Stegostoma tigrinum: one gene and its partners. The protein of the gene in region 3 purifies or fractionates together with the protein of the main gene of each other region. This does not show direct contact. Links are inferred from orthologs where the notes say so. Each region holds a gene or a part of one and is shown on either strand. Other genes may lie near its edges.

Region 1 (7,589 bases), on a different chromosome or scaffold from region 3:
CAGATTAAGCTATTTCCAAGTCATCTGGAGTCATGATTGGGTAAAGTTAAAACATCAATGCACGATGGGCCAAGGAGTAAAGACCTCTGACATCTCCCCTGTATCTACCTCCACTTGCTTTAAAACTATGCCCCCTGTAATAGCTACCTCCACCCAAGAAAATAGTCTCTGGCTGTCTACTCTATCTGTACCTCTGATCATTTTGTACTTTTCTATCAAGTCACCTCTCGTCCTTCGTCGTTCTAAAGAGAAAAGCCCTAGCTCTCTCAACCTTTCCTCGTAAGACCTTTCCTCCATTCCAGGAAACATCCTGGTAAATCTCCTCTGTGCCTTTTCCAAGGATTCCACGTCTTTCTTGAACATCGTTGGGATTACAACTGAAACTCAACTGGACTTCTCACATAAACACAGTGGCCACGAAGGTAGGTCAGAGGCTAAGAATACTGTGGCAAGAAATTCACCTCCTGACTTCCTAAAGCCTGTCCATTACCTACACGGCACAAGTTAGGAGTGCGATGGAATATTCCCCACTTGCCTGGATGGATGCAGCTCCAACAACGCTCAAGAAGCTTGACAGCGTCCAGGAGAAAACTCGATTGGCACAACATTCACAAGCATCCACTCCCTCCATCAGCAATGCTCAATAGCAACAGTGTGCACTATATACAAGATGCACTGCAGAAATTAACCAAAGATCTTTAGTCAGCACCAAACTGAATACCATTTCCATCTCAAAGGACAAGGGCAGCAAATACATGGGAACATCACCACCTGCAAGTTCCCCTCCAAGCTGCTCACCATTCTGACATGGAAATATATGGCTATTCCTTTACTGTTGCTGCACCAAAATCCTGGAATTCCCACCACAACAGCATTTTGGGTCAACTTACAGTAACATGGACAGCAGCAGTTTAAGAAGGCAGCTCACCACCACATTCTCGAGGGCAATAAATGTTGGCCAGCCAGTGATGCCCATGTCCGATGAGTGAATATAAAAAAATCAGAGCAGCCAGTTTGTGTATAGCAAACTGTCGCATAGAGAACAATGTGGTCATTACCACTCTGCTCTAAGATATTAGCTGCACATTAAATACCAGCATGACACTACAGCCAATTCCCTGTGCCATTCTGCTCAGAAGAGCAGGCTAGTCCTCAAGTTAACAAAAGTTAGCACCTCTGACAATGTTTTCCCTTTTAAATAAATGATTTGGATCTGAATACAAGAATGGCTAGTAAGTTTGCAGATGACACCAAAATTAGTGGTGTAGTGAATTCTGAAGAAGGATATCTCGGAGTACAATGGGGCCTTGATCAGATAGGCCGATGAGCTGAGGAGTAGCAAATGGAAATTCATTTAGATAAACATGTGGTATAATGTAAATCAGGTCAGGACTTAGGCTTTAGAGATAGCAAGAATGCAGATGCTGGAGAATCTGAGATAACAAGGTGCAGAGCTGGATGAACAGCAGGCCAAACAGCATCAGAGGAGCAGGAAGGCTGACGTTTCCGGCCTAGACCTCAGAAAATGAAGAAGGGTCTAGTCCGAAACGTCTGCCTTCCTGCTCCGCCTGTTGTGTTCATCCAGCTCTACACCTTCTTATCTCAGGACTTATGCATTATTTAGGGTCTGGGAAGTGTTGCCAAACAGGTTCATAATTCTTTGAAGGTAAACAGGGTAGTGAAGGCAGCATTTTGTATGCTTGCTTTTATTGGTCAGTGCATTTGTATAAGAATTGGGAGGTCATGTTGCAGCTGTCCAGGGCATTGGTTAGGCCATTTTTAGAATACTGTATACAATTCTGGTCTTCCTGTTGAACGGGTCCATTAAAGATTTACAACGATTTTGCTTGGATTGGAGGGTTTGAGCTATTGGGAGAGGCTAATTAGGCTGGGGCTATTTTCCCTGGAGCATCAGAGGCTAAGGACTGACCAGGTTAGATAAGGTGAATAGTCAAAGTCTTTTCCCAGGCTGGGAGGATCCAAAACTAGAGGAGATGATGGGAGAGGGGACAAGATTTAAAAGGGAGGTGCATGTATGAAGTGAGCTGCCAGAAAAACTGGTGGAGGCTGGTACAATTACAACATTTAAAAGGCATCCAGATGGGTATATGAATAGGAAGGCTTTCAAGGGATATGGGCCAAATGCTGACAAATGGCTCTTGGTTAACTTAGGGAATCTGTTCAGCATGGATGAGTTGGACTGAAACATGTTTCTGTGGTGTACAACTCTTAGTCTGTAAATGTTCCTTCAATGCTGCGTGTCAGTCAGGATTTCGATGCTCAAGTCTTGAAATTTGACTTGAACTCATACAACGATCTAACTCAGACACAGCTGATAAGGTATAGCGTGTAATTACAAAGTTGTTCCCTATGTGAACTTGCAACGACTTAACTATAACTGATTTTGTGACCACGAAATTTATCGAATCATTCCCAAAACCATTTTCATCTAATAACTAAATACATGTACCCCTTTAAACTGGTACAGAAATTGTGCCAGCTGTGCACCTGAGCTCGGGGGTACCAGATTAGATTTGAAATTTCCACTGCCCTTGCTCAGGACCCATCAGGAATCTGAAGCCCCCTTGTTCACTACCACAACAGGTGGCAAACATATCTCCTCCTGGCTACCAAATACCAGACGTGAAAATATACAAAGGCGATTTTCAAAAAGTGAAATATTCCGACGGTTTATCCTTTGCTGGAGGTGCTGTGGAGGAAAGTATCGTGGTATAGAAGGGGCGATAAATCGATGCAGAGAGTTCTGGCTGGGTGACTGCTAGGTCTGAGGCCTACTCCATTAAACTGCCTTTCTCCCTACCACTCATTACCGCCCGTCAGACTGTTCTCCCCGCCATTAACCACCCGCAGTGAGAAATACATTTATCACTACCTGGACTCTCTGCCCATTTCGAACGATTAAAGAGAACAAAACCAGCAACTCTCCACCTTCGCCACAATCCGATGAAGAAGGAGCGCACAGCGCCAAGAAGAAAGAAAAAGCCTCTTGGCTTCCAGCAACAACGCCACCGACTGACCGGAGGACCTAATGCCACACTATCGTTCATTGGGACCGATGATAAATTTTGTATTAGAGATAATGGGGACTGCTGACGGTGGAGAACCCGCACAGATGCTGCTTGCCCTGCTATGTCCATCCAGTTCCACAGTTTGTGAGAACAATTTTGTTTGCTTTGAGCACTTAACGCGGTCTCAGGGTCCCCTCAGTCTGGTCTGACCCATCTCCCACACCTCTTGCCTTCAGCCCTTATCCTCTTTCCCCAAATAGTAATAAGGCTCTGCTTGTTCTTACTTTCCACGCTGCTGGTCACCGCATTCAAAGGATTACCCTACTCCATTTTTGTCACCTCCATCAGGATGTGACTGCTGAACTCATCTTTACTCTCCTTCACTGTCAGCATTCCACAAGAACAGTTCCTTCCATGGTGCCCTGGTTCATTCCTGCAACACTCCGAATGCTCTCTCACCCGCTATGGCACCTTCTCAAGCAATCACAGAAGGTGTAGCATTTGCCCATTCTCCTCTTCCCTCCTTACTGTTCAAGGCCCTGAAAACACCTTCCAGGATACATCACAAATGCAAGGGCTAACACTCACTGAAAATGTAGCTAGTGTGTACCCAGTCACAGAGCAAGTTGATGAAAGCCCATTGCTGGCAGCAATCTTACTGCATTAATCAACCATCCATACCATATTTGAATTACAATGATGCACCAAAGATGCTTGTTGGCAAGGACTTTGCATGTGGCTTATGACTGTTGGACCTGATCACGAATTGATAGCAGGCTTATAACATTGTGGAACAAATGATTAATGTTACGAACAACTGTTCCATTGTCTGAAATTCCTTTCAGTATTTAACAAATTTGTGTTGGTCTATTGCATTGTCTATAACTTTTTCCTCATGAGGGCACAGGCCCTGTCAGCAGAGTGGGCAATGTGGAAAAGAAGAGGCAGAAGAGGAACAGATGGTGGTGAGTTGTCTCTGAGCAGATTCTCAGACTTTCGTTCCTTGGTAATCTCATTGCCACATCATCATTGTTTTACAAGTCCAGAGTCTTTTCATCTTCTTGGCTTAAATCCTGAAATGAAAGACAGCACAGAGCAAGTCTTTTTAAAACAACTTTCTCTGACAGCATTTCCAATGATATGTACAAAATCAAATTATTCACACTGCTGCATTTCTTAGGTGCCTGTTTTGAAGGTGTCTTTGCCTGGCCGAGTATTCATATGTAGTCGCAATGGCTGCAGCATGGCTGAAAGAAGGCTCGTAATCTTCAATGTTTAGGATTCATCTGTGATGTCATGCACAATTTCACTCTCCAGAGAGTAGACACATGAGCTATTCTTTCCCTCTGGCTTGGCTTATAACATTATAAGCTTTGCAGCCCACTTGTGCACTAAAGTGCTAATGCCTCTAAGTTATATTCAGCGCCATTATGTCAGCCTATCAGTAACATTATTTCTTTATAACATGCTGTTGCTCTCATCTTCGCAATGAGACACCACTAACTGGTCAGGTAGCAGATCTAGGGTATCTGAAAGTAGAAATGCAAAAGAGGAGGATTGAAGTGAGGTAAAGGAATGTGTTGAGTGGAAAGCTGCAGAATCATGCTCAAACCCTTTGCAGTTTGCACTACATGTCAGCAGGAAAGGCTGAGGTGGGATTTTAAAAGTGAGTAAGACAGGCGCATGCCTTCATCCAAGAATTCTCAACACTGCAGAATGCAAAGTCCGCAATCACTACTGTGTAATGTTTTCTCTCTGAAGGGTTCAAGGGCTGTAAGTTTGCCTGTTACATGTGAGGTCTATGCTGCTCTCTTCTGCTATATGCTGTCTTGTCCTACAGGAGAGAGGAAAGAATATCTGTAAGTATACTTAAACAAGTTGGGGTGACATGCCTGACATGACTGAATAGCTGTAGGTTTGTGAAATTAGAAGGAGGCTTTGCCAGCCTATTGATAAGTGTGTGAGAATGAATGCAGCATCTAATATTGGGCTTGAGTGTAGGAATACCAAAGATTCCTGGTGGCAGAGTAATGGGTTGTGTGCATTACACAGTGTGAGGAGTTGGTAGGTTGATGGATAACACGAGACATTAAATGATACACTCATTGACCTTGCTTACTTATGTGGGACCATTGAACGTTTGCTAGCATTGCTGTCAGGTCCTGGGCACTGGACTTCTGGAATTTGATAATGTGATCATTTATGCTCACATTTCCTTCATAGGTTGTACATTGAGGGTATCCTGGCCCTCTGTGAAGACATAACCATTCTACTTTTTCCAATCCCTTAAATTAAAGCCTCCCACTACTTTTCAGAAAATCCCTTTCACTGAACTGTGTTTTATTGATATTTTTAATCCTTTCCTCAAAGCCTCTCGCACAGAATTCCACCAGTTGCTCCCTTTAAGAAGAACAGATTGCCTTTAAGAAATACTGTCTGGCTGCAATTTGGTCGATTGATTGGTTGTTGTCATGTACCAAAATACAGTGAGAAGTATTGTTTTGAGTGTTACACAGGCAGATCATACCATACAAAGTGTATCAGGGCAGCAGAACAGAGTGCCAGATACAGTGTTACAGCCTCAGAGAAGGTGCAGAAGGAGCAAAAGATCAACATTAACATTTGAGAGGTCTGTTCAAAAGTCTGATAATAGCGGGGAAGAAGCTGTTCTAGAATCTATTCGTACGTGATTACGTTGGTTGCTTTCCTGAGGCAGCGAAAAGTACAGGTGGAATCAAAGAAATGGGAGGCTGGTTTGTGTGATGGACTGGGCTGTATTTATGACTTTGTCTAGCTTCTTGCAACCTTGGAAAGAGCAGTTGCCATGCCATGCTGTGATGCATCCAGTTAAGATGCTTTCTATGGTGTATCTGTAAAAAACTGGTAAGAATCCTTGTGAACATGTTGGATTTCCTTGGCTTCCTGAGGAAGTAGAGTGGTTGTTGTGCTTTCTTGACCATTATATCAATATGGGTGGACCAGAATAGCTTGTTGGTGACCATGAGTTGGTCATGCATTTTGTACTGTGTAGCAAATCCCAATCATTGAATTGACCCACTGGCATGATGTTTACATGCTGCCTGCATAATCTCAACTGGGCCTTGCTTGATCATTCCTTATGATATACACAACTCTCTAAGTGAATTTTACCTGAATCCATTCAAAGTAAATCAGAACTGAAGGAGAAATGATGATGAGATAATGATAAATACAAGAAAAATGATTGGAAAGGAAGAATCGGACATGGGGCACAACCTAATAGGGGCCTGGATGCCATGGGCTATGGCAAGAAATTACCACAATCACACAAGACAAGCGACATGTTGGGAAAAACTGCTGCGTCTTATAACTAGATTCTGGGTGTTGAGGCAAAATTCTAGCTATACAGAAGCAAATTATTTATCAGGGGTGAGTACTGCTTGTTAATGATGTTATTAACTGCACGTTTGACCTTATAAATTTGCAGCTTCCTGATTTACCACCCACTGTGAGCAAACTAGTCACCAAGATAATTCAACATGCAAGTCAAAGCAGGTACCTGGTGACTTCAGCTCACTGCTCACTCTGAAGAACCTCCATGTTGGGAACAGTTGTCAGCATCTCATGGGCAATGCTAATGTACACCCCATATCCATGGGCATTGGTGTCCAGAATGTGCCAGCCTTGAAGAAGCCTCATGGCACACCTCTAATCCATGCACAGTGCTCTTGAATTTCAATGTTGCACTTCACGATGCAATAGTAATTATGAGAGTAATACTGCAGCAAGGATACTTTGCTCTCAGCAACATGCACCCAGCTCATAAACTGAGCCACAATGCATCACCACCTGTTTACTTGGTCTGTTGGGGTGGTCAATATCAGAATCCTGTCCAAATAGAGAATGAGGAGACTATCACAGCCCATCACTCCACTTGGTCTTCCCTGTCCCACTGTGGGCCATTTTCGTCCTGGAATGAGAGAAGAGCAGGTGAAAAGGGGATAAAATTGGGTAACACTAATGCAGGTAGCAAGGTGTCCCGAGTGAGTGTTTAGGCAGTGCAGAAGACATACATGGTTCGTGCTGTCAGGTATTGCGATGGGCAATAACAAGTGACAGAAGATGTTGCAGGCAGTAATAAGAGTGGGAGGTGGGTGCAGTCGCCAAGATAGATTGAGTGTGATGCATTGGAGAGAAGGTGGTGGCACTTACGCTGGTAGAATGAAGAAGGACATTGACCTTCTTCCTAGTTGGCTGTGGATTTATCTAGACTGACCTGGGTGGTAATGTTAAAACCAGACCAATAGGGTCTGATATTGTGGCCTCCACTGCTGGGCCTGGGGAAAGAAAACTTCACTCGTCTGCATCATTTGTTGACTAGGACTTCCAAGACCCTGCCCTCAAAATAGGGAGACAATTTATCCTTGGCAGCATGTTAGTTTGTTTCAGAATATCCTGGCAATGGCAAACTGTTCCAGGAATAGCAAGTGATAGAATAGGGCTAGAGTTGTACAAGAGGGGCAATATATGTGGGGTAGGTAGTTAAGGAAGTGAGTTTGATACATGAGAACCTCATGGCAA
Region 2 (7,602 bases), on a different chromosome or scaffold from region 3:
CATGGGCTCACTGTTTAAAAACTCACAGGCCACCCATTTAGCGGTTAGGTAACTTTTACTCTGAAGGTCCCAGCTCTTTGAAATTTTCTTCCTGAAAAGGTGGTAGGAGCAGAGGCTTTGAATTTTTTTATGGCAGAGGTGGATAGATTTTCTCAAAGAATAAGTTAAAAAATTATTAGGATAGGTGGGAATGTGGAGGCAGGGTTACGTCAGATCAGCCATGATCTTACTGAATGGCAGAGCGGACTTGAGGGCCTGAATGACCTCCTCTGGCTCCTATTCATGTGTTTATCTGACACCACTGGGATTCAAACAGGTTTGGAGGGTGGTGGCAGCTTTGGGAGGAAGAAGCAGAGGTGAAGAAGAGGAGAGAAGTGAACTGGGCTGCAGCATCCAATCATTAGCTGGTTAGTACTGATCCATGGTCAGGGTCATCTCCTGTGAGGGGTTACTGAGTGTATCAGAAAGATTGCATACAGCTATTGTGCTCCCTAAAAGTCTGAATGCCCTTTCAACAAACTTCAGTGTACATCATTTTACATATTCCTCAGTATCTAAAATGTAGTAATGTTTCTGTGGAGACAGATCCTGTTTCATGTTGTGGAGGTGCCAATGTTGAACTGCAGTGGACAAAGCCAGAAATCTCACGACACCAGATTATAGTCCAACAGGTTTTGTGCAATGTCGTCTTTTTTCAGAACCGGCTTTTGGGCTACACAGACTCTTGACACAGTCTGAAGAAAGATCACTTGGAAAGGTACAGGAACCTCAATGGAATTTATTGCTTTAGAAAAGAGGGGACTGGAACATAAAGAGCCAGCAAAAATATTGATAAAGACCAACATTTACCCATGACATCACGAACAAATTCTGGTGGTGGCCGTGGAGCCCAGTCTTTGGGTTTTTCCAATATTGGCACTTGCTTCTCCTACAAGAAATTTGTGCAAAACTTTCGTTAATATCAAACATTTCAAACTGATACCTACACACACAATTTATCATAGGGTCCAGAAAAGCGCAGAAATTCATTCTGTTGGCAAAATTGCCCTTGCTTCTCACTTAACGCATAGATTGTGGGAAAATGTGAAGTTGTTCATCACAAAAGGGAGATCAAAAACACATCATGATACTTAAATGGACAGAAACTGCAGAAATCTGCAACACAAAGAGACACAGAAAGCTACCACATAGGTGCAGCAGGTAATCAGGAAGGAGTGTTGTTTCTTATTTCATGGGGATTGGAATATAACAGTAGGAAAGTTTCACTGCAACCGTAGAAGGTGCTGGTGAGACTACATTTAGGAGGACTGCGAGCAATTTTGTTCCCCCTATTTAAGGAGAGATTTGATTTAATTGGAGGCAGTTCAGAGAAGCTTCACTTGAATAAGCCCTGGGTAGGAGGGATTACTTTATGAGCAAAGGCTAAACAGATTGGGAGTCTATTCACTGGAATTTTAGAATAAGGAGGAATTGCATGGAATCATACAGGTTTCTTGAGGGACTGGAAAAAGTAAATGCTAAGAGAATTTTCTCCTAGTACGGGAGGGTCTAGGGCCAGACAGTACAGTCTCAGAATTAAAAGTGCCAGTTTAAACTAGATGAGAATTTCTTCTCTCAGAGGGTTGATAGTCTTTGGACTATCTATCTACAGACAGCTGTGGAGGCATAGCCCTTGTGTATATTTAGGCTAAGATAGTTAGATTTCTTGATCAATAGAAGAATCAAGGATTACAGGAAAAATAATGGAAAATGGACGTGAGGACTATCAGATCAGCAACAAACTCACTGAATGGCAGAGCAGGGTCAAGCAACTGAACAGTCTACTCCTGTCTGGTGGTCTTATGGTAACACTGAATTCTCACGCCATCTCGTCCCCATTGCCACTCACCCCTTCCTTAAGTTCAACAAATAATTCTAAACCTAATTTACTAATGTTCATTATGTTAAAAAAAAGAACTACATGGGCTGGAAATCAGACAAAAACAGAAATAGTGGAGACACTCAGTAGATCTGGCAGCATCTTTGGGACAGAAAGCACGTGTCAACGTATCAAGGCCAGTGATTCATCTTCAGAATAGCTGGATGACCATAACATTGAATTCCACACTACGTTTGAAACTCACTACTGTAGTCCCAAATAAGAATTTTCAACTTAAAGCAAATTAAATGGTAGAGCTGGCTGTAGTTGACTGGCTAAATAGACTAAAAACATGACAGTAAATGAACGGGGGGAAACACACAAGAAACAACTCATACCATAAATGGAGGATAGCCAAGAGACTAATAAATGTAAGGAACCTGAAGTACCCATTAACAGAAAATATGTTGGAGAAAATTAAGCGACTAAAACCCAACAACGCACAGGATCCACTAGCTTATGTCCTTGGGTTCAAAAAGAGAGACACAGAGGCAATGGACGCACTGGCTACGAGTTTTCAAGGATCCAGAAAAGACCTAATAACCTTAAGTTAGTAAGTGTAACATTATCATTTATGAAAGGAGAGTGAATACAAGAGAGTGGCTGATTGCTTGGTACACACCTCGCAGAGAGGAGGGGCAATGGGTCAGTTGGGAGGGCTGTAATTAGTAGAATGCCACAAGGATTAACAGAGCTCTGAAGCACTTATAATCCACATTAATAACTTGGACTAAGAAACAGATACATCAGTTTTGTCGATGATACAACCCTCGGTGGAATTGTAAGCTTTTGTTCACACACACACACACACGAGAACTGTGTGTGTGTGTGTGTGTGTGTGTGTGTGTGTGTGTGTGTGTGTGTGTGTGTCGGTATCGCATCTCCTCCCCCACGCCCGCTGTTTCTTTCTTTCTCCCCTCCTCTCAGGCCCTGGTTTTACTAACCGGATTCTTCATTAACCGCTCCAGCTTCAAACGCTGCTCCTCAGCCGCACTGCGCGGGATGACAAGCTGCTGAGCCGCCTTCTTCTGCGGCCGCTTACCGCCGTCCGCCATCTCCCGCCGGACGCGCGGCGATGACGTTGAACACCAGTCGGGCGCGCGGCGATGACGTTCGCCCCCGGTCTCCCCGGGTGATAAGCGTTGTGTTTCTCGTCAATCGGCCCCTTCATTCGGTAGGTGTGCACCTCCGGGACAAATCGGGGTTTTAATCTTCAATTCTTCACTACCTCTTAGAGTAACGGGGCCCCTGTGTGGTGGTTGTTGATTGTGGAGAGGTCACGTTGCAGACACAAAACCCAACTGTGGGGAAAGATACAGAGTTAACGGGTTACGATTCCACGCTCTGATGAAGAGTCACTGGATTCGAAATGTTACTTGTGTTTTGTCTCCATGGGTGCTGCCAGACCTGCTCAGTTTCTCCAGCAATTTCTGTCTTAGTTTTATACTTTTTTTGTCCACCATGGAGGTGAATCGCTGACCTATTTCAGAAGAGGCTAGCAGCGTGCTCCCTCAAGCCTGCGCTGATTTCCCCATCCCCTTCCCCCGCCCCAAGCGCCGAGAGTCTGTGCTGATTCTTCCCCCACCCCCCTTCCCAGGTCTGTACTGATTCTTGGCCATTAAAACTGTTCCACCATTCCTATATCATCGTAGCTTATCATCAATTCTGTCCCCACTTTCTCCCCATACCCTTCAATCCCTTTAGTCCGAGGAATTATATCTAACTTCTTCAATGTTTTGGCCTCAACCATTTTCTGTTGCAGAGAAGCCCACAGTTCTGGTTGAAGAGATTTCTCCTCATCCCAGTTTTAAATAGCCTACCGGGTGTGCTTAGACTGTGACCGACTGGTCATTGGCAACATCCTTCCTGTATTTAAATAAAAACCAAAAGAACTGCGGATGCTGTAAATCAGGAACAAAAACAAAGTTGCTGGAAAAGCTCAGCAGGCCTGGCAGTATCTGTGAAAGGGAAAACAGAGTAACGTTTTGGGTCCATTGACCCTTCCTCAGAACTGATGGCGGCTGGAAAAACATCTGTTTATATGCAGACAATAGGGAGGTGGGTGGTGTAGGGAGTAAACGATAGGATAGAGCCCAAAGAGAAAGACAGCTGGACAAAGGAATTGATAACAATCCGGCTGGGAGGGTGAGGTGTTGTTTCTCCAGCTTGCGTTGGTATTCACTGGAACACTGTGGCAAGCCAGAGACAGATGATGGCCAGGGAGCAGGGTGGTGCACTGAAGTTGCAAGCAACAGGTAGTTCAGGGCCTTTTTTGCGAGGAGAACGTAGATGTTCTGCAAAGCAGTCGCCAAGTCTACACTTCGATTTCCCCCAGTGTAGAGGAGACTACATTGTGAGCAGCGAATGAAGTAGACGAGATTCTGGGAAGTGCAGGTGAAGTGTTGCTTCACCTGGAAGGTATGTTTGGGTCCTTGGATACTGGGGAAGGGAGGACGTAAATGGACAGACTGAGGGGGCGGGGTGGAAGTCAGTACAGACTGAGGGGGTGGGGAGGGGGAAGCCAGTTACAGGGAAAGGCGCCGTAGTGCTGTGGGGAGGTGTTGGGGGTGAAGGAAGCAACACAACACAAGCTGGAGGAACAACACCTCATTTTCTGCTTGGGGACCCTACAGCCCGCCGGACTCAGTATTGAATTCAATAATTTTAGGGCCCAAATCTCCCATGTCCCAGCAGCCCACTCCACACAGCAGGCTTTGTTACCAAATAGCCTGCCATTACACACCCACTGTTGTTAGTCACTAACAGCCCCCATTAACAACTATTCACCCTTCTGGCCTGATCGTTAGGAACTTCTTTGTCTGTCCAACTGTCTTTCTCTCTTCGGCCTCTATCCTATCGTTTACTCCTTGCCCCACCCAACTTCCTATTTTCTGCATATAAACTGATGTTTTCCCAGACCCGAAACGTTAACTATGTTTTCTCCTTCACAGATGCTGAGCCATTCCAGCAACTTTGTTTTTGTTCCTTCCTGCAGTTACCTTGTCTGATCTGATTAGAATTTTTCATTTCACAAAACTCCTTTGAATCATACAGTGCAGAAGAGGCCATTCAGCCCATTGAGTTTGTGCCAACCTATCTATATGCAATCCGCTGTCTAGCACCTGGCCCATAGCCTTGAATGTTATGAAATTTCAAGTGCTTATCCGTGTACATTTTAAAGATTGACTCAACTACCTTCACAGGCAGTGCAGTCCAGATTCCCACCACCCTCTAGGTGAATGAGTTTTTCCTTAAATCCCCTGTAAACAGTTTTAATTGATCCAGTCTCTCTTCATACATTAGTTCCACCACCTCTGAATCAGTTGTATCCTAGGCTGCTATCAGAGATGAGGGAAGAAATTACAGGAGCTTTGACCCAAAGTTTTAAATTTCTGCCTGGCCCCTGGGAGACGCTAAAAGGACTAGAGGATCGCTAATATTCCACTTTAAAAGCAAGGCAAAGATAAACCAGGGAATTATATCAACAGGAGGGAAACCACTGGAGAAAATTCTAAAGGAGAGAATTAATCTTCACCTGGAGTTGCAAGGGCTGGTCAGGGATAGTTAATATGGCTTTGTCAGGCAGAAGTTTGCCAAACAAATTTCATTGAACTTTTCAAGGGAATGACCAAGTGTGTAGGTGAGTTTAATGCAGTTGATGTAGTTTATATGGATTCAGCAAAGCCTTTGAGTGGCCCACATTGGAAACTGATAAAGAAGGTAAAAGCACACGGGACCCAGGATAATGTGGCAAGTTGGATCCGAAGTTGGTTTAGTGACAGGAGACAGAGGGCGGTGGTAGAAGGCTGTTAAGGTTACTGGAGGCCGGTGTGCAGTGGCTAGCTACCACAGGGGTCAGTGCAGGGTAGCTTATTATTTGTAATATGTATATATAACAGTGTAGCAGAAAACTTTGGGGAAACAATGAGTTTGAGGATGATGTGAAGACTGGCTGATTGGTTGACAGTGAGGAAGAAGATTTTAGGTTACAGGATGATATGGATGGATTGATCAGATGAGCAGTTCAGTGACAAAGGGTAATCAACGCTGATAAGAGTGAGGTGATGCACTTTGGAAGGAGAAACAAGACAAGGGAGTTCTCAATAAAAATTAGGAGACTGGAAAGCTCAGACAAACTGAGGGATCTAGGCGGGGGCAGTGGTTGGGGGGGTGAGGTGCTTGACCCACAGATTCCTAAATGTGCAGAGCAGATTAATAAGGTAGTTAAGAAGGTATACAGGACATCTCAGTCCTGGCATAGATTATAAAAACAAGGAGATTATATCGTGGCTGTACAGAACTTTGGTTAGGCCTTGGCAAGAATACAGTGTGCAATTCTGGACACTAGGATGGAGTGCAGAGGAGATTGACCAGAATGTTGCCTTGGATGGAACATTCCAGCTATGAAGGGAGGAAGGATAAGCTTAGATAGTTCTCTTCAGAGCAGAGAAGGTTGAGGTGTACAGGATTATGAGGGGTATGGACAGATTGATAGAAAGCAGCTGTTCTCTTTAATTGAAGAATCAAGAACAAAGGGGCACAATATTAAGTGAAAGGCAGGAGGTTTACAGGGGATTTGGGGAAAACAAGAGTGATGCAGAGTTCTGAATTGCACTGCCTGACAACATTGTAGAGATGGAAAATTTCACAACATTTACAAAGTACTTGGATGAACACTTTAAGTTCAAGACAATGGACCAAGTGCTAGAAAGTAAGAGTCGTGTAGATTTAGAGTAGTTTTTGTCAGTGTAGACCCGATGGGCTGAAGGGCCTGTTCTCTACAGTATGATTCGATGATTCTAAAACGTGAGTGTCAACCTCATCCAGGCTGACATGGTCTGGAGTTGTGGTGTCCAATTCTGGGCACCAGAACCTCAGGTCCCTGCCAGCAAGTGGGGCACCATTTTGCACTTCTGTGCTGTGTCCAGGACAAATGTTAGGAATTGTGCACAGTAGCCCCAGAAAACCTGGGTAAAGATGGCACCAATACTAGGGATATCAGTCAATTCCTGGATATCACAGCAGGTGTGCAAGGCAACGCCCATCTAGATTCAAGGCAGTGGACATCATTAAGGCACATTTACAGGGGCTAATATATAAAAATGGATCAAAAATTAATGACTGACAGGAAACAGGAAGTGGGAATAACTGGGTCTTTTCCAAGCAGCAGGCAGTGACTTGTGGGGTACTGCAAGGTGGGAGGTGATGGCCTACTGGTATTATCGCTGGACTGTTAATCCGGAGATTTAGATAACGTTCTGGGGATTCAGATTCAAAACCCACCATGGCAAATGGTGGAATTTGAATTCAATAAATATCTGGGATTAAGACTCTAATGATGACCATGAATCCATTGTTGATTGTCAGAAAAATCCATCTGGGTCCTTTAGGGAAGGAAGCTGCCATCCTTGCCTGGTCTGGCCTACATGTGACTTCAGACCCACAGCAATGTGGTTGGCTCTGAACTGCCCTCTGGGTAATTAATGATGGGCAATAGATGCTGTCTAGTCAGTGACACCCTCATCCTGTGAATGAATAGAGAAAATAGAGATCAGTGCTTAGGCCCCAGTTGTTAATGATATATTTTGGGGCGGAACGGTGGCTCAGTGGTTAGCACTGCAGTCTCACAGCACCAGGGACCTGGGTTCAAATCCACCCTTGGGTGACTGCCTGTGTGGAGTTTA
Region 3 (7,486 bases):
TTGCTGGTCAACTGTCAGCCAAAGCAGCCTGACTGAATTGTGAAAAGTCAATTAACTGCACATCAGAACTCCAGGCTAATTTTCATACTTACAATTATACAGCCTTCTATCCTCATGTTGACTTGTTCATATAACCATACTTGGATCCTGGATCTCTAGAGTAAAGGAAAAAGGTAATTCAAGTCAGAAACAAATTATTTCCAACGAGTTTGAATAAAACAGTGCCTCTAAGCTGTGCAATGCTCCCTCAGTCATGTATTAGAGTCAGAAAAGACTGTGTTCAGGTCTCTGGAGTGGGTATGAACTCATGACTTCTGACTTAGTAAGAGAGCTGCAATTAAGTTGAGATTTAATCAGCCCTTTGCTGAATTACTGCAGCAAAGTCATTAATAAACTGCATTCACTTAACAGGTATGATAAACACCATTACCATGATGATTAATTATGTAAAATATTAAAAGTAAACAGCTTTACTTACATTCTGAAGGTACCTGAAAATAAGATTCTGTTGCACGTTCAGTTAAGGACAACATTTATAAATTATATAATGAACATCTCCATTATAAGATCTGCGTATCCCTCACATGCTATCTATAACCAGTCTGTGGTATGGTCACCAATCTAATGAAAAAATGATGCATAATACCTACCTCAAAACCGTTTACAGCTACAGTATTGATGTGTTTATTGATAGACATGAACATTGGCGTCTTTTCTAAAATGGCCATTAATTATGTCGCTCAAGTAATTATCTACAATCTATTCAACTGCACACCATCATAAACTCAATGTTATCCTCATCCCACATTCACAAACTAGTGTGTCTAGAATGCACTTCCTGGAGGATCAGGAAAGATAAACTCCAGTGGAATTTCTCTCCTTAGCCTTTAAAATTAAATACCGAAGTCACGTCCATGCCTAGCTCTTACAAAGATCACTGAAACAGTTCTTCCAAATTTGTACTGACAGCTATTCCACTACCTAGGTGACATTCGCATCTGAGACTGTGCACATGTATAATGACCAAATCTAATTTGCCTGATAGTTTAGATTCAGTATGTTTACAAAAGTTTCCACCCAATAAGGCTCCCAAGCCCACATTCAAAATTCTCCTGTGAATACAGCAACATTGCAATAACGTGCACTTGGTACCTTCACTTGAGCAAGGATATAACAACAGGATAACACTATTATACCAAAAATTGCTCTTACAAATATTGAGATTCACAATGGTAGTATAATAAACTAGATTCAAAATGATGCATAGCAACTATACTTAATTTATCCTGTAGTATTTAACTTCAATTCAAAGGTTTGTATAATGCATTCAATCCACCAATCCTACATTCAATCAATTTATTAAAACTCCTGGTCAAACAAATGTTGCAATGTGAAAACTTTCATCCTTGTTATAAAGTTCCTGCAGGTAATCTTGCTCAACCGTACAAATGTCTGCCCTCATCTGATTCGAGCCTCTTGAGCATCCTTAATTATGGTTATATTGCTATTTATGACTGCACATATTCAGCTGCTCAAGAGTCTTGTATTCCTACTTCACTTTCCTCCTTTCTACAAGACCATAATACATAGGAGTGGAAGTAAGGCCATTCGGCCCATCGAGTCTACGCTGCCATTTAAATCATGGCTGATCAGCATTTCAACTCCACTTCCCTGCACTCTCCCCGTTCTGACACACCACAAAGTCTACCTCTTTCACAAGGAGTTTGCCAGTTAACCAAATATGTCAAATGTCATGGACACAAATTTTGTCCAGTAACGCTCCTGTAAAGCGGCCTGGTTTTATACTATGTTAAAGGTGCTACTTATATGTCAACCATATTTGGTGAGGGCCCTCCACAGAAAACCGCTGAGCGATTGCCTTACGCTGCTGAAAACCCCACCTCAACAAACCATGCTGCATCAATTCACTAATTTGAACAATTCCCACAAGACAAGAGCAGAAATAGGCTATCCAGCCCAATGACAATTCTGCCATTAAACGAGAGCATGGCTGATGTGAGAACCTTCAGCAACAGAAACAAACTGCTGAAAAAGCTCACAGGTCTGGCAGAATCTGCAGAGAAAAATCAAAGTTAGTGTTTCAGATCGAGTGATCCTTCCTCAACTTTGTTATGCTGCCTTTACCCCGGTTACCCTGGATTTCCTTGCCCGATTAAAAATCTTTCTCAATCTCTAGTACACTCAATGCCACAGACTGCATAGTTCTCTGCTATAAAGAATTCTACAGATTCACTGCCATCTTGGAGAAATTCCTCCTCATCTCTGTCTCAAATGTACGACCCCTTACGGTGAGAGGTTATACCCTATGCTCCTTGACTTTCCCACAAGTTAATACAACCTTTTCTGCATCTTCCCTGTCAAATACGCCAAAAATCCCATAGATTTTAATAAGGTCGTCTCTCATTGTTCTGACTTCCCAAGGGTAACGGGCCCTCTCAGCCCGAGGCTCCACAAAACACGGGACGACCATAACTTTAAAACAAAACGATTTAAAAAGCCGTTGTTCAATGGGGCTGAGCACGAAGGCGGGCGGCACATGGAGCTTGTTGTGAGGAGCCGCTCGCCGTCCATCGCACGGTGGATAGACCCAGGGAGGAGGCCTCAGAGACAGACAGGGAAAGAAAGAGAGAGAAGGGAAGGCAAGAGAAGAGAGGCAGGCAGGGTGTAGGCCCCGAGGCCGGGTGCAAGCCTGGGCACAGGATCCGGTCCGGAGTCTCGGGTTCAGGCCCGAGCCCGGGGCGCCCAGTCACGGGCCGATCCTCCCTCCCTCCCTCCCTCCTCAGATCCGAACACCTCCCCACCCGCCGAAAGGATACAATGGGCTGCACCATCACTTTCTGCACTTTCTGCGCCTGCCCGCGGTACGCCATGACTTCGGCTCCGACCCGGCGACCGCCTCAAGAAGGGGGGAAAACACAAAAAGAAAATGGAGACAAAATGGCGGCTCCCGCTTCACGCACCGTGACCTCTGACCTTCCCCAGCACGGCGCGGCGCGTTCGGGAAGAGGCGGGCCCCCGCTGCTATGGTAACGAGGAGGCGGGGCCCTTGCTGCTATGGTAACGTGGAGGCGGCATCTGATACTAAGAGCAGTGACAATGGGAACTGCAGATGCTGGAGAATCCAAGATAACAAAGTGTGAAGCTGGATGAACACAGCAGGCCAAGCAGCATCTCAGGAGCACAAAAGCTGACGTTTCGGGCCTAGACCCTTCATCAGAGAGAGGGATGGGGAGAGGGTTCTGGAATAAATAGGGAGAGCGGGGGAGGCGGACCGAAGATGGAGAGTAAAGAAGATAGGTGGAGAGAGTGTAGGTGGGGAGGTAGGGAGGGGATAGGTCAGTCCAGGGAAAACGGACAGGTCAAGGAGGTGGGATGAGGTTAGTAGGTAGGAAATGGAGGTGCGGCTTGGTGTGGGAGGAAGGGATGGGTGAGAGGAAGAACAGGTTAGGGAGGCAGAAACAGGCTGGGCTGGTTTTGGGATGCAGTGGGTGGGGGGGAAGAGCTGGGCTGGTTGTGTGGTGCAGTGCGGGGAGGGGACAAACTGGGCTGGTTTTGGGATGCGGTAGGGGAAGGGGAGATTTTGAAGCTGGTGAAGTCCACATTGATGCCATTGGGCTGCAGGGTTCCCAAGCGGAATATGAGTTGCTGTTCCTGCAACCTTCGGGTGGCATCATTGTGGCACTGCAGGAGGCATCCACTGTACCCGGTGTGGCTTCCTCTACATTGGGGAAACCAAGCGGAGGCTTGGGGATCGCTTTGCAGAACACCTCCGCTCGGTTCGCAATAAACAACTGCACCTCCCAGTCGCAAACCATTTCCACTCCCCCTCCCATTCTTTAGATGACATGTCCATCATGGGCCTCCTGCAGTGCCACAATGATGCCACCCAAAGGTTGCAGGAACAGCAACTCATATTCCGCTTGGGAACCCTGCAGCCCAATGGTATCAATGTGGACTTCACCAGCTTCAAAATCTCCCCTTCCCCCACCGCATCCCAAATCCAGCCCAGTTCGTCCCCTCCCCCCACTGCACCACACAACCAGCCCAGCTCTTCCCCTCCACCCACTGCATCCCAAAACCAGTCCAACCTGTCTCTGCCTCCCTAACCTGTTCTTACTATCACCCATCCCTTCCTCCCACCCCAGCCGCACCTCCATCTCCTACCTACTAACCTCATCCCACCTCCTTGACCTGTCCGTCTTCCCTGGACTGACCCATCCCCTCCCCACCTATACTCTCCTCTCCACCTATCTTCTTTACTCTCCATCTTCGGTCCGCCTCCCCCTCTCTCCCTATTTATTCCAGTTCCCTCACCCCATCCCCCTCTGTGATGAAGGGTCTAGGCCCGAAACGTCAGCTTTTGTGCTCCTGAGATGCTGCTTGTCCTGCTGTGTTTATCCAGCCTCACATTTTATTATCTTGGAATTCTCCAGCATCTGCAGTTCCCATTATCTCTCATTAACAGCATTATCTGTTTTTTTTTAGTGGGGCCAGGGAAACTGAACTAACATTTACAGATATTTATTCTTTCAACCTATCTGGTTTAAAATTTAAACCGTGGCTGGCAGTTAACTGTAGCTGATAGTTATTTGTTGCATTAATTTCTTTGCCAATGTATCCATCCTTTAGCACCCTCCTCCCAAACAGATGAATGTTGGTTTTCCCATGGAATTAATGTTTCTTCTCAATGAGTGCAAGAAGAAAACTTCTGACAAAATGTGTCTTGTTTTATCATCAGCACTTCCTTATTGTCTGGTTCGATGCCTCACCATTAACGCTGTATTCTTCATAGACTGATTGAAGACAAGGCAACGCCTAGGACTATTTGAGACTTAGACTTCAGATCAACACTATTGATCATACTGAATGCCAGAGCAGGTTCAAAGACCCCAATAGCCTTTTGTGCTATTTTCTATATTTCCGTGTTCATTACATGTTAAATGCTGCTGTTTATGCTAATCATAGATAAATAAGGCTCTGAATTATTATGTTAGGTAAGGACTAATCTTTGTTGTGTCCATGTCCATATGCTTTCCAGACTCTAAAGTTCTAATCTAGTGTAGTATAATGAGGTGTAATACATTGTGTTCTAACCATGCCCTCAATGTGCTATTTACATTCAGTGATGTGTAACTTTGTGACATCGTTGCAATTTTGGTCTGCTGTTCACGCAACAAAAAGTGTTGGAGAAAATAAGCAGGTATGACAGCACATGTGGTAAGAAAGCAGATAAACATTTGAATTCAACCTGACTGTTCAGAAAACGAAACTTCCTCTCAACCAGACCCTTGAGACCAAGGATGATTTCTTTCTACTCAGTAATGTAAGAGATTATCTTTTTAGGTTACATTATATTTGATTGTGGATTGAAATGGGAACTATTTTACATCAAACAACTGAGGAAGAAACTGCTATACTTTTAAAAGCAAGTTACTGAACCTGTCTTAAGTCATGGATACACTGTTGCTTTGCGTGCATTCAAGGAGGGTGTCAATAGATAGCGTGGCACAATGGCACATGTACAAAGATTTTGGCCTGCGACAAGTAACTGATTGGTTTGTGGAATTGCGACCGGTTATGGATGCTAAATATCATTGACCTAACAACTACCAGATTGGTTTATGGATGCCGGTCAATTTGTGGTTGACTATTACATTGAGCAAGTAGTGAGAAACCATTAGACCTCTGGAAGAGGAGGTGGTGTGTTTCTCGCCGGTAAAATACCTGAAGCTAAGGAAAGCCATTTTTCTTTATCTCATTAGTTGCTATAAGCTATTGCTTTTAACCAATAAGGTAAACACCTTTTAATTTGTGAATCAGTCACTCTGTGCCTCCCATAAAGGAGTGAAAAACCTAAAGGATAAATTCAGAAAACTAAAGGACTTGGGAAACAAAGTGAACTCCTCCATTGAGTCCTGAAGATAGGTGCCCTTGAACTGTTTCACCAATATTCAATCCCCTTTCATCCAGACCTGTCATTTTTGTTTGCATGTATGTGTATGTAGGAGGTGTTTATTAAAACGGTTAGTAGAGTTATATCAGAGATAATGGGAACTGCAGATGCTGGAGAATCCAAGATGATACAATGTGACGCTGGATGAACACAGCAGGCCAAGGAGCATCTCAGGAGCACAAAAGCAGACGTTTTGGGCCTAGACCCTTCATCAGAGAGTAGAGTTATATGTCAGCTTTTCATTGATTCTCTCCACAGACAAACAACTATTCAATTCTAAAAAATAGTAGCCCATTATGTAGAGAGTTTGGCTCATGTTTTCTGTCAACGAGTTGATCAGACAGGAAAATTGGAAACTTATGATAACATTTTTAACTTTTAGCAGGGCTTGATTTCCAGAGGGCTATTCCAGCTTTGATTTGTGCATCCTGAGGTGACTTAGCAGTCCAATGTGAATCTGCATGCCCTGCAACTGGTGGGGGTAGTCAGGTTCAACAAGGTAGGTGTTCAGGTTGTTGGAAGCTATTTAGTTGATCCTACCCCTCTAGTCTTTCCCACATATATCCAGTTCTCTTTTGGAAGTTTGTAGTGTGCCAGCTTTACCCTTTCAGATAGTGTATTATAGAACATAAATCACAGTATTTTAAATTTTTCTCCTTCCGTCACTACTGATTCTTTCACCAGTTACTTTAGATCGGTTATCAAGCGTCCCCCTACTGTTATTCTAGCAAAATATTTCATGGTGTTATAAATGACTTTACTGAATTCACATTTTGTTTAATTTCTCCATCCCTGGTATCAAACTAATTAAGATCCTCTGCACCGAAAGCCTAGATCTCCTTCCTATAATGCGGCCCATGGAATTAGACTCAATAGTCCAGCTGGGCCTGTTTGTGAGCAGAAGACATTTTCATAAAGCAAAGAATTCCATGTCTTTTTAATAGCTTTCTGTGCTTTTTATTTTCAAAGACATGTATGGACAGTCCAAATTTCTGTTCCTGAATTGGCCTTTGTATTTCTTTTGACCAAAATGTAATAATTCACCTTCATATGTTAAATATCATCCACCATACATCTGCCCATTTCGCCAGTCCATAAGTTTGTTTACGACCTTTCTCAAATTTGTGTCATGTACAGACTTAAAAGTTGCCACATGCAGTGATCCTGAAGTCAACCACTGGGAAATGACATTGTATTTTTCAGACAAATGACTGTTCACTATTACTCAGATCGAAGAACAGAAAATTTCTTCACAGCTGATCAGGCACCAATCATGTAATGAAGCAGATCTATCAGGTCGAGGTAACAAGGTGTAGAGCTGGATGAACACAGCAGGCCAAGCAGTATCAGAGGAGCAGGAAACATCAGCCTCCTTGCTCCTATGATGCTGCTTGGCCTACTGTGTTCATCCAGCTCTATAACTTGCTTTCTTGGATTCTCCAGCATCTGCAGTTCCTATTATCTCTATCAGGTTGACCCTTCATTAGAAGTGAGGAAAGCTAGTAATAGGTC
Region 4 (6,980 bases), on a different chromosome or scaffold from region 3:
GAAAAAATGGCATACAGCGATTTCTTCAACTCTAGAAAGAGAAGAAACATAACACAATCAACTTCAGTTTCAAATCAGTCACAAGTACAATTGCGACCAGACTTGAACGTGAACTTGAAACCACAATTCAAGTTCATGAATGTCCAGTAAATGCGGTTGATTCATAATGTCATATTGTGCAAAGCCCAGTCAACCTCTTACAAAAACAATACAGAAGATGCAAACAAAGCTTTGCAAGAATGACACCAGAACCATGGTTATAGTTACAAAACAAAGTTATGCTTCATTTATACAGGGCATTGGAGACACCATATTTGGAGAGTGGGTTTTGTGGGTAAGCAAAGTGGAGTTATCAGATCACCCATGATCTTATTGAAAGAATGAACAGACTTTAGGGGTTGAGTGGTTAACTCACACTAAATGATATGTTTGTGTTAGAGATGACTGGCAGACTGGGGCTCTTTTTTCTACAAAGAGGCTAGAGCCAGGGAGGGGTCATCTTTAGCACTATGGTCTTTAACATTTGGGACATATTCAACAAAATAGACAACTGCCTGATTTGAAGGGACTCAACGGCAACTGCTGCAAATCCAGGTACAGTTACAACACAGAGTCATAGAGATGTACAGCATGGCAGCAGATCCTTTGGTCCAACTCGTCCGCGCTGACTAGATACCCTAAATTAATCTAGACCCATTTCCCTGTAAACCGTTCTTGTTCACATACCCTTCAGGATGCCTTTTAAATGTATAAATCAAAAGGCATTTTGACAGGTACATGAATGGGAAAGGTTTAGAGGGATATTGGCCAAAAGGAGTTAGTTGGAACTAGTTCAGTTTGGGAAATTTGGGTCACATGGACGAGTTGGATCAAAGGGCCTGTTTCCATGCTGTACGACTCTATAACAGTCCTTGCATATGGCTGTTGAACACTCCGAAACAACGGGTCATACATGGTACTTATTAATAATTCCAATAAAGAAACTGGGAGAAAGTTGTTTTAAGCTATGCTTAGTCAGAACTTCCCACCGCAGGGATAGTTGAGAGAAATTTCCTTTAAGAAACTAAATAAACATGAGGGGATGAGGAGCAGTTTGTTAAAATTCACTCTCAGTACACACTTTGCTAACTGTGCCAGCATTTATTGTCTTAGACCCCACTAATGCTCTCGAAGTCCCCAACCCAAACATACCCGAATACACTGCTGAACCAGAACTATCCCTGAATACTTGCCATCTTTCTTGATCTTCTCATTCAAATTGTTGATGTAGATGGTGTGGTTTGGACGGGCCTCTTGGGTAGTCATGGCTCTACTCTTGCGCTAACTAAAATTAAAACTGAGGGGGGAAATGAGCACAAGTGAAAGTCAGTCTCATAGATGTCACTCTTCAAAAGAAATAAACCTCTCTCTAACTTCATTATGGCAAATCTCAGAGTTGAACTCAACTCAGAAATCATGAGCTCAAAATCAACAATGGCAAGCTGTGACATTCAATAAATCTTAAAAGGTTTGATAGTCCAGACCAAGGATGATCAGCAGAATTCAACCTGTTCACTGTAGTTCAGCACCACACTCCTTAATTGTTTTAATGGCTGCCTGAACTTCCAAAGCCTCAATGCAGCAGCAACTTCCAGAATTGGAAGTCAATGTCTTGATCAGCAAAACAACACTAATCACTGTGGTTGTATACACACTTTGAGAGGAAATGCTGCTCAGCATGCTAGCATTACATGTGGTTACTGTGCAGAACCAAAGCTGACAAAAGGTGGCTGCCAAACGTATCCATTCTCATCCGCTAACACCGCTCCCAGATTCAAAGGACTGCAGCCCAATGTGTGGCTATAAGTGGTAGAAATGTAAGTCACATCCCTAAATTGCTCTAAAGCAACTCAAGCACACCCCATCCTAGATCCCAAAGTTAAGAGTACGTATTGTCCTTCCTTTGCCCGTTACCCAGAGACAGGATTACTAAACAACCCCTTCTCTCACATCCTTCATCCAAGCTCACCCGCTCTGAGAAGCAAGACAGCCCCTTCTCTCCCCCACCTCTGAGGGAAAGGTCAGCCTACCCCCCTCTCCTTCTGAGAGCTCACACAGCCCCCTCTGTGCACGAACATAAAAAACAGGCGGAGGCCATTCGGCCCTTCAAGCCTGCTGCACAATTCTCTACAACCACATCTGATCATCAAACTCTACAACCTGACCCTACCTTTCCCTCCCCATGTCCTTTGATCCCTTTAGCCCAAATCACCAAATCCAACTCCTTCTTGAAACGTAGTATTTTGGCCTGTTTTCTGTACCACAGAAAACCACAGTAGTAGCAGTCTGCGGGTGGAGGAATTTCTCATCATCTCAGTCTCCTCTGGCATACGCTGTATCCTTAGACGCCCACCCATCAACTCAACCTCTCTCACATTCCTTTAGCCACTCAGCCCTCCCTTTTGCCTTACCACCCTTCACCCTTTACCCCTGGCCTACTCTCTCCCTCTCAGCCAACCCTCCGCCCTCTCTTTACCTCCATCGGCCCTGAACCGGAAGCTACCGCCCGTCGGCGGAAGCTTTAACCCGTGGTTCCGCCGCAGGCTGCTCCGTACGAACCTGGTGAGACCGCGGCTCTAAAGAACCGACCGTGCGACGCGATGCGAGCTCCCGCACACAGAGACGATCAGGCTAACTGCGGGCGGCCGCCGGCTCTAAACGCTGGGGGATGGCAGCGGATGGTCGCGGGCCCTAACCGCCAGCACCGCGCGCCACGACGGAAGTCCAACCCCCTCACCCCGCGGCCAGCTCCCATTGGCCGGCCCTGGTGCGGGGCCGCTCACCGATTTGTCCGCGGTCCCGTCAATCAGACGAAGGCGGGAGGGTCGGTGTCCCCGCGGGACCCGGATGGTTTCCCCAGCTAATAAAATGTGAGGCTGGATGAACACAGCAGGCCAAGCAGCATCTCAGGAGCACAAAAGCTGACGTTTCGGGCTCCGGCGGGGAGTGAGAAAGGACAGAAACAGAAACAGAGATCGAGAAGGAGCGGCTAAGAGGGCGGGAGAGGGGAATCAGTGACTCGCTAACGGTCTGGGTCCATTCAACAGCACAGACCCGATCTGAGAGAACTGATTGGACTAGACCGGTGTCAATCAAATTGGCCATTCCACCGTGGCCAATCGCGGGATGTAGAGTGGGATTCAGGGACGGAATGTTCTAGAACGTGTTCAGTAATTCCCGACCCTCCGCTTTCCTAAGTACCCCACACACACTTGCATCCATCCTATCCCCCAATTACTTTATTCCCCTATCCGACACTCCCCAACACCAAACACCTCAAATAACCCCAACCCACCTCAATCCCCTCCCTCTCCCCAAAAACCATTCCACCCCATCACCAATCGCCCTCCAACCTCCCCAGCGATCCAACTCCAATCTCACCCCAAAAGCCACCTTACCAACTATTCCCATCCCTCAGTTACATCCCAAACTACTCCAACCATTCCACCCCTCCCCAAACTGCACAGTCCAATCCCACAATAAAAATCACACCTCACCCCAAAGTGCCCCGTTACTCTCCACAATACCCGAATCACTCCACTCTACCTAACTATACAACCCCAATCATCCCACCCTGCCTCCAACACCTCAAAATACCCCTGCCTCACCCCTTCACAACTACTCCATCCCTCAAATGATTTCATTTTCCCTGACCATCCCTAATCGACCCCTTCCCTAACTACTGTTTCTCCATCCAGCCATCCCATTCCCTAATTACTTCATCCCCAAATTACCCCATGTCCCATACCAGTTCTACCTCAACTGACCCAGCTTCCAACCACTGTTCGCCCACTCTTCTGTGTTGATTTCTTTTCTGCAAATCCAGTCCTTGTTACAACTAGCACTATTCCCTGCTATCTAACCCTTTATAAATCTGTGCTGGCTCTATGCTCAGAAATTTTGAATTTGTGGATTCAGGCAATTTATTGACAGCAGATAGTAACGGGTCTGTGATTTCCTGATGGACCTCACATCATTTTTCTTAAATTGTTGAATGTCATGCAGTTATTCCATGCCCCCCTTCTCCCTCAACATGGAGTCTTCATTACTCCCACTGAGACTACTTTCCCAAATCCTCCACCACTCACCCCATCTCCTGCCCCTAACTCCCCCATTAAATATAAAAGACAAATATTTTCTGGAACAATAAGTGATAAATGATAATGATTTTTTTTCCTCCAAGGCAAATATTACAACAGTATCTCTGACCCTTGGTGTACTAGTTACTGAGGCAACTTACTCGTAAAAATTGTTGTGGGATGCTCCAATTTATCAAGTCAAAGCCAAACGTTAAATAGTGGGCTGCCATGTCCCACCTCCATCATGTTGAAATGGCACAAGGAGAGCAAAATCTCATCAGTGACACATCTGATGGTACAGACTATTTGTCAGTCCCTCCTCCTCCTCCCCCCCTCCCTCCACCCTTTCTGTCCCCTCCTTCTGAACCATCACAAAATAAATTATACCAGATTTTTGCTCAAGACCGATTACCAGTAACTGGAGACTGGGAGGAGGTGAAGTTGCTGGTCCAGAGCAGGCCTAACAGGTATATAAAACTAAAAATTATGAGCCATGTTTGTCACAGTTGTTTAAATAAGAGCAAGATTCTGGAGATGCTGGAAACCTGAAACACAAGAAGTGCTGGAGAAACCTAGCAGTTCTGGCAGCATATGGGTGGCATAGTGGCCTCACAGCGACAGGGACCTGGATTCGATTCTAGCATTGGGTGACTGTCTGGAGTTTGCATATTCTTCCCCATGTCTGCATGGGTTTCCAGTTTCCTCCCACTGGCCAAAGACATGCAGTTTAGATGGATTGGCCATGCTAAATTGCCCATAGTGTCCAGACATGGATTAGCTATGGGAAATGGAGGGATAGGCGAGGTCTGGGTGGGATACTCTTTAAATGGTTTTTAAGGTCTTAGCGAAAATTTGTAGCTCGGGTTGTGGATGCAGTTGTTCATTAGCGCACTGAGCTGGTTGTTCTGTGGTGTGCAGACATTCTGTTACCCTTCTAGGCAACATCATCAATGTGATTTCTAATTGAAGCAATGGTGTTCTGCTTCCTTCCGCATGTTAATGAACAACTGCATCTTTGGAGGGTTGATGTGGCTTCAGTTGGCCGAATGGCCTGCATCCATATTGTAGGGATTCTGTAATCTGTAGAGAGACACAATTAACATTTCAAGTGTAGTACAACTTCCTAAAAACATCTCTGAGAAGTCAAACACAGTCGAATAACTCTGCGGTCAAAACTCAGGAAAGAGATCTAGGATTGTCGGTACAGCTATGTGTTGGAGTTTGGTCTTCAGGTACGTCCTAGGGGCTGAGAGACCTTGGAAAAAGCCACGTGCCATTAATATTTCAATACAGTTGTGAGCAAGGTTATGGAAACCCACAAGTAACACTTTGTACAACTGACAAATGTTAGAGCTCAGGAAAAATAAATCAAGGGCGGTACTAACTTGATAAAGCTAGCTGTCCACGAAAAAAGATGCATTTGCACCTGTGACGATGCTAGAGTGTGGTTTCCAGAATCCAGAGGAGTGTCACTCCTGGAACAGGTGGTGAGCTACCAGAAACTGAGCAATCATTGAGGCAATGCATGATGGAGTAGTTTTTGATGTACTTTAAAGGCCAGTTCTTCAACAGTGAAGTCTTAAAATGAGACTTAGTAACCCACAATGTCACTGACATCCTGAGAGCGGGGAGGGGTGGGTAGGTAGTTGCTGAGTAATCCATGGGATCTGACTCAATCACTTTTGATGTTTACATTTACACTTTTGTCTGAGTAAGTTTTATTTGTAATAAACTAGGTATTAATTGTTAACTTAAGAAACTGGCTGAATTATTTCTAGCACTAAGTCAGATACAATGTAAAGCCTATTGAATTGGCCATATCACCACACAGTTTAAAATTCATTATGACCAGTGGAGGAGTGGGACTAAAGGGAAATTGATGCCCCGCTCCAATCTTGGTTGTAACACTCTGTATACTGTGCGAAGTTAATGGCTTGGCCAAGTTACTGCCCTCTTATAGACTAAGCAATGCATCCTTTATGTGTTATTATAGGTTAACAGTGCATCCTCATGTACTATTGCAGTTTAATATCAGAGCCCAAGTGTGCTATCAAGTGATAGATTCTTTTCCAATGGCTGAACATTTTTCTGATTTTCTCATATTTCCAGCTTCAACAAAGATTTGCAATGGCTCCTTATTAATAAATATGTACCCTCGCTGATCCAGGATGGTCCACAGTAAGTATCTAATTCTGGTTTCTCTACATTGGTGCATACTGGCAGAAATGGGGGCACAGAGGCTCAGCGGTTAGCACTGCTGCCACACAGTGCCTGGGACACAGGTTCAATTCTATCCTAAGGCAACTGGAACTTGCACATCCTCCCCGTGTCTACATGGTTTCCCGCCAGGTACTCCACTTTCCTTCCACAGTCCCGAGATGTGCAGGTTAGGTGGATTGGCCATGCTAAATTTCCCATTGTGTTCAGGGATGTGCAGGCTAGGTGGGTTAACAACAGGAAATGCAGGATTACAGAGATAGGGTAGAGGGAATGGGCCTGGGTGGAATGCTCTTCAGAGGGTCTATGTGGACTTGTTGGGCTGAATAGCCTGTTTCCACACTGTAGGGATTCTATGAAATAGAAAATGTTGGCAATGTCTGGCATCACCTCTGGTGGAACAGATTTAATGTTTCTGTTCCATGACCTTTCATCAGAACACGGGTAGTTTTTCTGTTTTTCTCTCACCTATAAATGCTGCCTTCCATAATCTGCCAAGTGTGGGTGCTTTTTCCCTGTGTCCTAGCCAATATTCAACCTTCAACTAATTCCCAAAGCAGATTGACTGCCATTCATCTCATGCCTGCATGTGAGATTGCATTGTGTGCTGTGCTGTGGACCTTTCTTCTGCCTATAAACTGCAAT

The links.
Region 1: the proteins of snrpe (region 3) and ddx46 purify together in Homo sapiens (co-immunoprecipitation; 3 studies listed by BioGRID and IntAct, counting the BioPlex papers as one, with this or other methods). This does not show direct contact. The link is inferred for Stegostoma tigrinum from reciprocal best matches to the Homo sapiens genes SNRPE and DDX46.
Region 2: the proteins of snrpe (region 3) and prkrip1 purify together in Homo sapiens (co-immunoprecipitation; 3 studies listed by BioGRID and IntAct, counting the BioPlex papers as one, with this or other methods). This does not show direct contact. The link is inferred for Stegostoma tigrinum from reciprocal best matches to the Homo sapiens genes SNRPE and PRKRIP1.
Region 4: the proteins of snrpe (region 3) and snrpa purify together in Homo sapiens (co-immunoprecipitation; 4 studies listed by BioGRID and IntAct, counting the BioPlex papers as one, with this or other methods). This does not show direct contact. The link is inferred for Stegostoma tigrinum from reciprocal best matches to the Homo sapiens genes SNRPE and SNRPA.

What each region holds. Positions count from the first base shown.
Region 1 is NC_081366.1:30,953,577-30,961,165, reverse strand, and holds the start of ddx46 (probable ATP-dependent RNA helicase DDX46), read right to left. Parts: upstream 3,016-7,589; 5' UTR 2,911-3,015; coding exon 2,894-2,910; intron 1-2,893. UniProt on the Homo sapiens protein: Component of the 17S U2 SnRNP complex of the spliceosome, a large ribonucleoprotein complex that removes introns from transcribed pre-mRNAs.
Region 2 is NC_081380.1:2,597,347-2,604,948, reverse strand, and holds the start of prkrip1 (PRKR-interacting protein 1 homolog), read right to left. Parts: upstream 3,010-7,602; 5' UTR 2,974-3,009; coding exon 2,863-2,973; intron 929-2,862; coding exon 850-928; intron 1-849.
Region 3 is NC_081374.1:11,214,712-11,222,197, forward strand, and holds the start of snrpe (small nuclear ribonucleoprotein E), read right to left. Parts: upstream 3,007-7,486; 5' UTR 2,892-3,006; coding exon 2,838-2,891; intron 506-2,837; coding exon 479-505; intron 156-478; coding exon 93-155; intron 1-92. UniProt on the Homo sapiens protein: Plays a role in pre-mRNA splicing as a core component of the spliceosomal U1, U2, U4 and U5 small nuclear ribonucleoproteins (snRNPs), the building blocks of the spliceosome.
Region 4 is NC_081392.1:9,170,240-9,177,219, forward strand, and holds the start of snrpa (U1 small nuclear ribonucleoprotein A), read right to left. Parts: upstream 3,007-6,980; 5' UTR 2,823-3,006; exon of another isoform or gene 2,516-2,822; intron 2,474-2,515; exon of another isoform or gene 2,210-2,473; intron 1,337-2,209; 5' UTR 1,306-1,336; coding exon 1,233-1,305; intron 32-1,232; coding exon 1-31. Other genes in the region: actmap (actin maturation protease), read left to right, coding at 4,347-4,585, 6,228-6,296. UniProt on the Homo sapiens protein: Component of the spliceosomal U1 snRNP, which is essential for recognition of the pre-mRNA 5' splice-site and the subsequent assembly of the spliceosome. U1 snRNP is the first snRNP to interact with pre-mRNA.